Macaca mulatta: one gene and its partner. The protein of the gene in region 1 binds, or shares a complex with, the protein of each later gene. Links are inferred from orthologs where the notes say so. Each region holds a gene or a part of one and is shown on either strand. Other genes may lie near its edges.

Region 1 (5,630 bases):
GCTAAGATTGTACTGCTGCACTCCAGCCTGGGCAACAGAGCGAGACTCCATCCCCCCCCCAAAAAAATGTGTGTATATATATATATGTGTATCAGCCAGCCGTGGTGGACGTGGTGGACATGTTGGTGGCACCTGTGGTTCCAGCTACCCCCAAGGCCAAGGTGAGAGGATGGCTTGAGCCCAGGAGGTGGAGGCTGTAGTGAGTCTCGATCATGTCACTGAACTGGGTGACAATTATGAGAAAATTGAGTGACATGTCATGAAACTCTCCTCACCCTTCCCAGGGAGTAACTTTTTTTTTTTTTTCCTGAGACCCAGCCTGGAGTGCAATGGCACGATCTCAGCTCACTGCAACCTCCGCCTTCCGAGTTCAAGCCATTCTCCTGCCTCAGCCTCCCGAGCAGCTGGGATTACAGGCGCCTGCCACCATGCCCAGCTACATTTTTTTGTATTTTGGTAGAGACAGGGTTTCACCATGTTGGTCAGGCTGGTCTTGAACACCTGACCTTGTGATCCACCCGCCTCGGCCTCCCAAAGTGCTGGGATGACAGGCGTGAGCCACCGCGCCGGGTCCCCAGGGATTGAATCAGAACTGTAAGCCGGATACACGGGCCCCATTTCCCAAAGACAGAGGCGGCCCCTGCCCTCGGCCACAGGGCTGGTGAAGGGAGCGACACAAAGAATCACCGGAAGTTTGTTGATTGACAGCAAATCCGGGCTTGCCTGCACAATCTCATTTCATCCGTCAACAGCCCATAGCGGGTATTTTCCCGTTTCCCAGAGGTGAAGACTGAAGCACAGAGAGGGGCTCGCCCAGCCCACGGTTCCACCCCAGGTCCCCACAAGCGGCCCCGACGCGCCCCTGCGTCGCCACCTCCACCCTCCCCAGGCCTCTGGCCTCTGCCCCTGCGCCCCCCGCCCCGGGTGTCCCTTCCCCCCGCGCCCCGCGGCACCTGGAGAACCACGATGTCGTTGAGGAAGTTGATGGGGTCGTAGCCGTTTTCGAAGACGCGCTGCACGGCGAACACCTGCCGGGTGCGCTCCTGCTGCTGCAGGTTATGGGCTCCCAGGACCACGCGCACGGAGCGGAAGTTTCTGCTGGGAGGAGAGGCGGTGGCGAGGGGCGCCCTGGGGGTCAGGGGGTCCCCACCCGAGAGGCCTGCGGGGGAAGGTGCCGGAGCCGCCCCGGGGCCCTGGCCTCCCCCGACCGTTCTCAGACCGGGACGCGGGTCCGAGCCGGGCGCACACCCTCATGGCTACTCACACGTTCGCCACGCAGTGCGCGGCCGACATGACGAAGTTGGGCGCAATCAGGGTGGCGCCGCAGAAGTGCCCTCCACGCCGCTGCAGGGACGCCATGAAGGGCCACGCGTGGGGCTGCGCTTGCCGACCGCCCACAATCTCCGAGGCCAGCGCGGGGCCTGGGGACACACCGGGTGTGGGTGCTGAGTGCCTGACAAGGAGCCCGTGCCTTCCCGGCCACGGGGCCCCTGGATACCCCACCAGGAACCCGCGGGACCCACCGGCAGGAACCCACGGGATCCCCCACCAGGAGCCCACGGGATCAGGACCATTCACACCCCTGTTGTTCAGATGAGGGAAACTGAGGCACGGAGAGGCAAAGGGACCTCCCCACGGTGCCCCTCCAAGGCACAGCCAGACCTGGACTCGAACCCAGAGGGCGCCCTGCGAGCCTCCCCCCCACCCCCCCGCCTCGGTTTGCAAACCCCAACTCTGGGATCCTGGTGGTGGCTTCACCACTCAGAACCTCAGTCTCTTCTCCTGGTCCCCTTGTCCCAGATGGCACCTCCCCAGTGAGGATGAGGGACCCACACTGGTGGGGCCCACCATGAAGAAGTGGGAACAGAACCCCAGGGACAGAGGGAGCAGCGGAAGGATGGACACAAGGACTCACCCTCCAGCAGCAAGGCCGGCAGGACACCAGCGAGGAAAAGGCAGGAGAGTTGGCAGCCAAGGGTCATGGTGAGGCTGGTCTCTGGGGTCTCTGCCCCTCCGTGCCCACCCGGCTCCTCTTATAGCCCTGTGCCAGGAGGCCGTTACATTGCCCCACAGCTGGCCGGCGCCCCCCACTTCCTCTCTCCTGGCACAGGGCGTTGATGAAAAGGGGGAGAAAGGGGGCAAGAGGCCGGGGTTGGCTCCGGTGGGGCCGCCAGACAAAATTCAGGATGCACAATCGCGTTTGAATGTCAAATAATCGACGTGGGTCTTTTATTTAGTTTTTTGGAGACAGAGTCTTGATTTGTCGCCCAGGCTGGAGTACGGTGGCACAATCTTGGCCCACTGCAACCTCTGCCTCCCAGGTTCAAGTGATTCTCCTGCCTCAGCCACCTGAGATTACAGGTGAAATCACCACACGCGGCTGATTTTTGTGTTTTTAGTACAGACCGGGTTTCTCTGTGTTGGCCGGGCTGGTCTCGGAGGTTTTTTTTTTTTTAATTTAAGTCTGTCCCGGTAAGTCTTTAATAAATTAAGACTTAAATACTTAAGTCTTAATTTAAGTATAAGGATATACTTACCCGAAATGCCCAGGTTTTACTGAGCATTGCTGTGTTTTTGCCAAACCTGCCAAACCTAGACCTGTGGGGCTTAATGCGGGTGGCCTCACCTGCCTCAGTTTACCCAGGGCCCTGTGATACCGGCCACATGCAGCTGTGTCGCCTGCCTCAGTTTACCCAGGGCCCTGTGATACCGGCCACATGCAGCTGTGTCGCCTGCCTCGGTTTACCCAGGGCCCTGTGATACCAGCCACATGCAGCTGTTTCGGGCACTCACGGTGCAACAGGCACCTCCCTGATCCTTCTCAGGGTTCCTGTTTGGGATGAGGAAACTGAGGCATGTCAAGGGCCTCCCCAGGAGCTGCAAGTTTAACCCAGGTCTCTGGGACCCACAGCTGGACGGAGATCTGGAGCTGGCTCACTCCAGCCTTGCTCCCTGAACCTCAGGGCTCACTCTCAGGGCCGGGCCTTCCATCCCGTCCTTGGCAGTCACCCACAACGGGGAACTCACTCTCACCCAGGCTCACGGTCAGTCCCTGGACAGCAACTGAGGCTCTGACGGTCTCTCCCGCCCTTCTGCCTTGGTGAGCTTCCCCGAAGCCCTCCCCGCCTGAGGCAGGGGACCGGCAGGCAGGGGTGCTGGAGAGAGAATTCCTGCCCAGGCCGGGAGGCTGGAATGAGGATGTTCACCCAAGCCTGAGGGCTTCTGCCTGGAGGAACTGGCAGGGGAGCTGGAGCCCCAGCCACGGGGATGGGATTCCCAGGACCCAGCCCCAGGCTCCGGGTCCCGTTCCTCTTCCCATCCCCCCCACGATGTTCCAGCTGCAACGGCTGGGCCAAGGCTGTTGCAAGAACCAACGTCCTCCTGGCTCCGGGACAAGGGGAGGGGAAGGGAACCAACGGGCCTGACTCCAGGAACAGGCGGGGCGAGGGCACCCGGGGACACACAGAGCCTGGGCCGGGCTGGAGTCCTGACGTGACCAAGGACAAGTGGACTCCCATAGCTCTCAGGTTAGAGGGACAATGGTCCTGCCCTCCCAGAGCCTGGCACACAGCAGGCACTCCATCCACGTCTGTCCTGTCCTCAGCGTAATCAGACACACACTACCCTGCCTCCTCCCCTCCCCTTTTGGCAGGATTCCCACCTTGCTGCCTTAACATCACCGTGGTGCACTTAGTAAGCACCTGCTGTATACACAGCCCTGTTTCAAGTCGGGGATGGGGGCGGCCATATCTTGGGGGGGGGGCGCTTGGCCTCAAGCAGGGAGATCAGACTTGGCGTCAGCTGCATTTATTGAGCACCAGCTGTATACCACATTCGCATGTGCAGTTATTGTTAAGTGTGCTGACGCTGGGTTCATATCCTGGTTCTGGTGTGGCCTTTTGGCCACTGTGTAGCTTCAGGCCCCTGAAATAAACTCCACGACTCAGTTTCCTCCTCTGTAAAATTATAATCATAGGATCCATCACATAAACCTATCACGAGGGTGAAATAAATTAACGTTCGTAAAGTTCTTAGCTAAGAAAGTGTTGTCTGGTCGGGCGCGGTGGCTCACACCTGTAATCCCAGCAGTTTGGGAGGCTGAGGCGGGTGGATCACCTGAGGTCGGGAGTTCGAGACCAGCCTGACCAACATGGAGAAACCCCGTCTCTACTGAAAATACAAAATTAGCCAGGCCTGATGGCGCATGCCTGTAATCCCAGCGACTCGGGAGACTGAGGCAGGAGAATCACTTGAACCCGGGAGTCGGAGGTTGCAGTGAGCCGAGATCGCACCACTGCACTCCAACCTGGGCGACAAGAGCGAAACTCCGTCTCAAAAAAAGAAAAAAGAAAAAAGAAAATGTTGCCTTTGAGAGCTTGTTAACCATTAACTGTGGCAGGGAAGGTAGGGTTGTTATGGTCACAGCGGGTATAGACTCCAAGGGGGACGTGGGGTCTTCCGGGAGGCCAGGAGCGTGCTAAGATTACAGCAACCTGGAGGTGTTCATATGTAAAGAGTCACTGAGGACCCACTTGGGCAACACAGCCAGACTCCGTCTCTACAAAAAAATAAGAAAATAGCTGGGTGTGGTGGCACCTGTGGTCCCAGCTACTTGGGAGGCTAAGGTGGGAGGATCACTCGAGCCCAGGTGGTTGAGGCTGCAGTGAGCCAAGACTGCACCACTGCACTCCAGCCTAGGTGACAGAGTGAGACCCTGTCTCAAAAATAATTAAGTAGGCCGGCTGCAGTGTCTCACGCCTGTAATCCCAGCAGTTTGGGAGGCCGAGGCGGGTGGATCACCTGAGGTCGGGAGTTCGAGACCAGCCTGGCCAACATGGTGAAACCCCGTCTCTACTAAAAATATAAAAATAAGCCAGGTCTGGTGGCGCATGCCTGTAATCCCAGCTACTCAGGAGGCTGAGGCAGGAGAATCGCTTGAACCCGGGAGGTGGAGGTTGCAATGAGCCGAGATCAGGCCACTGCACTCCAGCCTGCGCGACAGAGCAAGACTGTCTCAAAAAAAAAAAAAGGAAAAAAAAGACAAAGGACAGCAAGGAGCTATGTGTGTCCTGAAGCAGGTCGTCCCCTCTCCGTGGTTAATGCCTCCTTCTCGTGGCCACTTGTCCGTCTGAGCTGGACTGTGAGTCCCACCTCTTCCCTGCCTCGGACCGCCCCTCTGGCCACCCCCCAGTTTATTCCTCATGCTTCCACCAGGGGACTCCTCCCCTGCCTACCCATCCTAGGAGAAATAGCGCTCCAACCCCATCACCCCTCCCCTGCACCCACACCCCTCCCCTGCCTGCCCTCCTCCCCATTCCCTGGCCTCTCGCCCTCAGGCCTCTGCCCAGACCGTGCCCCCTGCCTGGTGGCCCTTAGGATGTTTCTGTTCACACCTTGATCTGCAGCTCTGGCACTGCCGCCTCCTCCAGGAAGCCCTCCAGGGTGCTCCCCCATCCCCATCCGCCTCCTCAAGGAGCCCCTGAGCCGGCAGGGACACAGTGGGAGCCCTGAGGGCCCACATGGGCTTCTCGCCAGTTCTAGAAAACGTCTGGGGTGACTCCATTTTCCAGATGAGGAAACCGAGGCACGGAGATGAATAACAACCTGCCAGAGCCACTCTGATGGGGCCG
Region 2 (5,408 bases), on another chromosome or scaffold:
TGGAGATTAAAAAAAAAAAAAACAAAAAAACCCTTAAGCTGTAGCATTCTCCTTTTAATTAATTATTTAATTTTTTTTTTGAGATGGAGTCCCATTCTGTTGCCCAGGCTAGAGTACAATGGCGCGATCTTGGCTCACTGCAACCTCTACTTCCAGGGTTCAAGTGATTCTCCTGCCTCAGCCTCCTGAGTAGCTGGGGTTACAGGTGCGTTTCACCCTTTCACCATGCCTGGCTAATTTTTGTATTTTTAGTGGAGATAGGGTTTCACCATGTTGGCCAGTCTGCTCTCGAACTCCTGACCTCAAGTGATCTGCCCACCTTGATTTCCCAAAGTGCTAGGATTACAGGCATAAGCCACCATGCCCAGCCCCTTTTCATTCTTTAAGAAACAAATATTTAGAAAACTCCAGACAATTTCTTGAGTGTGGCACTGAGGAAAATAGGAACAAACAGAGAGAGAGAGAACAGAAACTATGTGAGAGAAATAAAATTGTCCCCTGGGTAGTGCAGGTGAGAACAAAAATCTTGACTTGAGAGTGTCATTACCCACTGGCGGAAATCATATCCTCCATTTCTCTCTTACCTGCCCTACTAAATACCAACTAGGACTGAATGTACCTGGTTCATAGTAGTTACCTCATGCATATTAATTTTCGTCCTTTTCTTTTTCCACCAAAATTTGATTGATGATTGATTGATTATGTCCAAGTCTTCTGATCCACCAAAATTTAAACCATGGAGTGACTTTCATATAAACAGATCTGCTGCCAGTTGACTGTCTGGTTGTGGAATACTTAAATACTTCATGTGGGGCTGTCACTACTTGATAATGAGTGAGTCTTTCATGTCTGTGAAAAGTTCCACAAACATTCACTTTAGGAATGAATGGGAGAATTCTAAGCATGAAGATAGTGAGTCAAGAGCTTAGAGTTTGCAGCCAGATGAGCTTTGGTTGAATTTTATTTTATTTTATTTTATTTTTTTAAGACAGAGTATAGCTCTGTTCCCTAAGCTGGAATGCAGTGGCATAATCATGGTTCACTGCAGCCTCAAACTCCTGGGCTAAAGCCATACTCCTGGCTCAGCCTCCCAAGTAGCTGGGACTGCAGGCATACATCATCATGCCTGGCTAATTTTTAAAATTTTTTTGTAGAGATAGGGTCTCAATATCTGGCCAGGGCTGGTCTCAAACTCCTAGTCTCAAGGAATCCACACACCTCAGCCTCATGAGCAGCTGAGACTGTATGTATGTGACCCTACACTCAGCTATGGGCTGAATTTTAGAGATAATGATGACTCTCTTTATAATTAGAAGCAATCTATGCAGATTGGGTAGCATATAGAACGAGTTTAATTTTTTGCTGTCATGTGAGATCTGTAAGGGTTTTTGGGGAATTTTAGGAAGCAGTCCTCTAAGATCTCAAATTATCTCATAGCTAAATGTTGATTACAGTGACTGATGAGCTGCTTTCCCCCTTTATCTCAGATTCATTTCAGTTCTCTTTAGTGGGAAGGGATACAATTCATTTATTCTTTTCAGAGTCCCTTCATGCCCTTAATTTCATAACCCTCTGAGAAGGGCTGACTTGTTAGTATCATTTCATTTCACAGCTGAGAAAACTGAGCTCTGAAGAGATTTGCTGAGAGCAGAGCTCTTCTTCAGCTTTCATTTGTTGAGTGAATGCTTTTCCTGTGACAGGCACTGGGGATAAACGGTGTAAATATTTCAGGGAACTAAGTATCGGTTGGTTGAATGAGCTGAACTTTTGAGAAAGAAACTGCATTGAGCATTCAGCAGAGTTTCACAATGCCTTAGAGTCTAATAATGTGAAAATCAGAATTCGTAATGTGAGAATAGGATGTAATGCACGAAGTCTCAGCTGGGGGTCTGCATCTGGTTTCAGTTCCAGGTCCAGGTAGCACCTTTGCAATTGACCACTTCTTCCCCTCTCCACCTGTAAGGCTAATGGCCTGGGGTCTCGTGATGTTTAGGGCTCAGATGGACACTGAGATGGCCTCTTTAATCAGCCAACCTCTCAGGCCAACCTCTTCCCTTTCTTTTCTGGTAATTACTGTATTGGCCTCAAAGCCTCACCTGGCATAGGAAAGATAAACCGTCTCCTTGGTGCCAGGATTTCTGGTCTCTGGCTAAGCTTCCTGCTTATGCAATAGTAGCTGGGAGAGGCCAAAAGAATTCTGGTTGGGCCACACCCACTGGTGAAAGAATAAATAGTGAGGTTTGGCATTGGCCATCAGAGTCACTCCTGCCTTCACCATGAAGTCCAGTGGCCTCTTCCCCTTCATGATGCTTCTTGCCCTGGGAACCCTGGCACTTTGGGCTGTGGAAGGCTCTGGAAAGTGTAAGTTGGGAGTCATTCTGGTCTAATCTGGGCTGCAGGGTCAGAGGTGCGGTCTCCTGGTGATGTGGGTGTGTCCCCTTCTGTAGGCTCTGATCTCTCAGCTTAGTTTCAGGAGACCTCCCTGAGAGTGGAATACATGTCTGGCTGAGCTCCAAGGTTTCTGTGAGGGTTTCTGAGCTTCTGGAAATGCTTTTTCTATGCAGCCATGCTGTCGGCCCAGATCCCACTCTCTCTCTCTCTCTGTCTCTCTCTCTCTTATCCTCTGCCTTCTTCACCTGTCTGCGACTCTCAAATCATTAGTTTCTGACTCTGCTTCTTCTTTGTGTCTTCGCTTCTGCTATTTTGTCTCTGTGTTTCTGCCTTGGGCTTTAGCTCTCAACTTCTCTCACACTGGTTCTATTTATCTTTGTTTATCTGTCTCCATCTCCATCACTCCCAGCCTTCCTCTCTGCCTTTGTGTAGCCCTGTTTTGCTCTGGGGTGGGAGGTCTTGACTAGAAGCCTGCTGCCCTTTTCTTGGGTCTGAAACATCCCCTGTCCATTTGTCCAATTTAATCAAGCCCATCAATCCACCCGGAGATCAGGCAGGCATGACCCTTTGGGCTTTGTGGATAGCTCCTGAGGTAAGGGTCTCTCCCCCTCAAAAGTGGTGCTTTGTTCAGCAGGCATGATGACTTCTCAGTGCCCAGCCTACTCCTGACCTCTTGACTTTCTCTTCAAAAGCCTTCAAAGCCGGAGTCTGTCCTCCTAAGAAATCTGCCCAGTGCCTTAGATATGAGAAACCTCAGTGCCAGAGTGACTGGCAGTGTCTAGGGAAGAAGAGATGTTGTCCTGACATTTGTGGCATCAAATGCCTGGATCCTGTTGACACCCCAAGCCCAAGTAAGCAGATCGGGGAACTGGGTAGAGAGGAGTGAGCCTGAGGACACAGCATTAGGGGGATGGCACTGGGTGATGGGTCCTGCCAGGCCTCCTTGTCAATCAGTCAATGAGTCACATGCCCTAAGGAGGAAGGTAGCCAGCAGGTGGTGAAGCAGCGGGCATTTAGATAGTCAGGTAGTTGGAAGCCTCCCACCTAGTCAGCACTGGACGACTGGCCCCCTGCATCAACGGGGGCCTGATGTTCTAGGACAGCCAGGTGCTATGTTTGGGGGGTGACTTACGGAGAAAGTGGTGGTGATAGAGATCGGGGGGGATGATCCGACCTGCTCAGGTTGCAGCAGGGGCTCACTCTAAAAAGTGGAGATAGGAGGGGTTGTGTAAAGTACAAGGCCTCTGACTGGTAGCCTCACTCTCACCCAGCGAGGAGGAAGCCTGGGCGTTGTCCACCAGCTTATGGCCAATGTATGATGCTTAAACCCCCCAATTACTGTGAGATGGATGGCCAGTGCGAGCGTGACTTGAAGTGCTGCATGGGCATGTGTGGGAAATCCTGCGTTTCCCCTGTGAAAGGTAAGCAGGGGCCGAGGGCACACTGAGCTCCCTCCATCTCAGCCTCAACCCTCTGGAGGCCCAGGCATATGGGCAGGGGGACTCTTGACCCCTATTCCAAGCAGAGCCTCTGTCTGACTCCCTTGTCCTTCAAGAGAACTGTTCTCTAGGTCTCAGGGCCAGGATTTCCATAGGATCACCTGTGGCTTTGATTCTATTCTAGTGTCTCTGGGTGGGGGTCCTGGGCAAGTGACTTTCTGAGTCTCAGTTTCTTTATCGGTAAAATGGACATAATGAGATTGAAAGTGCTCTGCAAAGCACTATGTGCACTAAGAATTTATTATTCAGGTTGTTTCCGTCATGTTTTCTGAGGTTAAATCCCAAACGATCCGTGGAGTTTGAGGATTATCTAATTCAATGCTTTCAATTTAGAGTTTTACGGTGAAAATGAGACTTGTCTCCTGACACTAAGTCTCTCTCAACTATAGCACTATCTTGCTATTTTCTTTATCTCAGGAGGATCCTTGGGCAGAAGGAAGGATGTGAATATGATTTGGCTGATTTCTATGCTGAAGCTCTTATCTGATTTTCTCTCACAGCTTGATTCCTGTGATTTGGAGGAGGCTCTGGAGTCCTGCTCTGTGTGGTCCAGGTCCTTTCCACCCCCAGACTTGGCTCCACCACCGATATCCTCCTTTGGGGAAAGGCTTGGCACACAGCAGGATTTCAGGAAGTGCCAGTTGATCAATGAATAAATAAATGAGCCTATTTCTCTTTGTACCCTGCTTCTGTGATTCATTGGGGTTATGAGTGGGGTGGGAGGCTATGAGGGAAGATCTAGCTATGAGGCCTTCCTCCTATGGATATATAGTGGGAGGAAGAGGCTTAGGGACTGGGGGGACTTGAATTTATATCATGAGTCTATAAGTACTGGCTCTGTGATTTTGGACAAGTGATTTTTATCTCCTAAATTTCAATTCTTTTGTCTGTGAAGTGGCAATAAAAGTCAACTTCTCACAGCATTTGGAACATTGGAGGAAGCATTGTGTGTGTAATAAATAGCAATGTTACTAGGCCACAGCAAGTTCTCAAAAAATAGGGGCTACTTGTGGCCTACTGGAGTGATTTTGAGTCTCTTTAATTTCCTCTCTCTCCCACGACACTATTTCTTCTATTTTATGATGAGAACGTTACCATAATGGGTAGCATTTATGGCACACTATTGGCCATACCATGCAAGGGTGGTGGTGTCCTTGACTCCACGGAGCAGGAGTAACAGGAACTGGGACTGCTAAGAGCTAAGGAGCAGGCAAAGGGCCTTGCTCCACATTGCTCTGCTCTGCGGACTCCAGAGGAAAGAGACAACTTGATTAGATAAGGTTTTAAAAAATATTGTAATTCAATCCTTTCCTGGAAAAAGTCAGCAAACTAAAAATTCTTCCTTACTACTTTCAAACAATGCTCTAAGAGCAGCAAGGGAATATATTAAATTAACAATTCAATGAAGAGGAAAAAGAGGGAGAACCATTTTATTTATTTGATGAGTGTGGCAGTCACCCTTCACGTTGGCCCCCAGTGATCTCACCTGTTGGTATTCACACCTTTGTGTAGCCCCCT

Evidence for each region.
Region 2: the proteins of ELANE (region 1) and SLPI are in contact, whole or in part, in a crystal structure (PDB 2Z7F), measured with the Homo sapiens proteins. The link is inferred for Macaca mulatta from reciprocal best matches to the Homo sapiens genes ELANE and SLPI. Residues at the interface, in NP_001963.1 of Homo sapiens: His53, Phe54, Cys55, His70, Cys71, Asn74, Val75, Pro111, Val112, Asn113, Leu114, Leu158, Ile165, Leu180, Arg182, Val197, Cys198, Phe199, Gly200, Asp201, Ser202, Ala216, Ser217, Phe218, Val219, Arg220, Gly221; in NP_003055.1 of Homo sapiens: Tyr93, Gly94, Gln95, Cys96, Leu97, Met98, Leu99, Pro102, Phe104, Met121, Cys122.

What each region holds. Positions count from the first base shown.
Region 1 is NC_133424.1:1,505,766-1,511,395, reverse strand, and holds the start of ELANE (neutrophil elastase), read right to left. Parts: upstream 3,349-5,630; 5' UTR 3,034-3,348; exon of another isoform or gene 2,648-3,033; intron 2,350-2,647; 5' UTR 1,983-2,349; coding exon 1,916-1,982; intron 1,422-1,915; coding exon 1,265-1,421; intron 1,099-1,264; coding exon 954-1,098; intron 1-953. UniProt on the Homo sapiens protein: Serine protease that modifies the functions of natural killer cells, monocytes and granulocytes. Inhibits C5a-dependent neutrophil enzyme release and chemotaxis. Promotes cleavage of GSDMB, thereby inhibiting pyroptosis. Promotes blood coagulation.
Region 2 is NC_133415.1:98,091,803-98,097,210, reverse strand, and holds SLPI (antileukoproteinase precursor), read left to right. Parts: upstream 1-2,254; 5' UTR 2,255-2,276; coding exon 2,277-2,361; intron 2,362-3,083; coding exon 3,084-3,242; intron 3,243-3,662; coding exon 3,663-3,812; intron 3,813-4,390; coding exon 4,391-4,395; 3' UTR 4,396-4,572; downstream 4,573-5,408.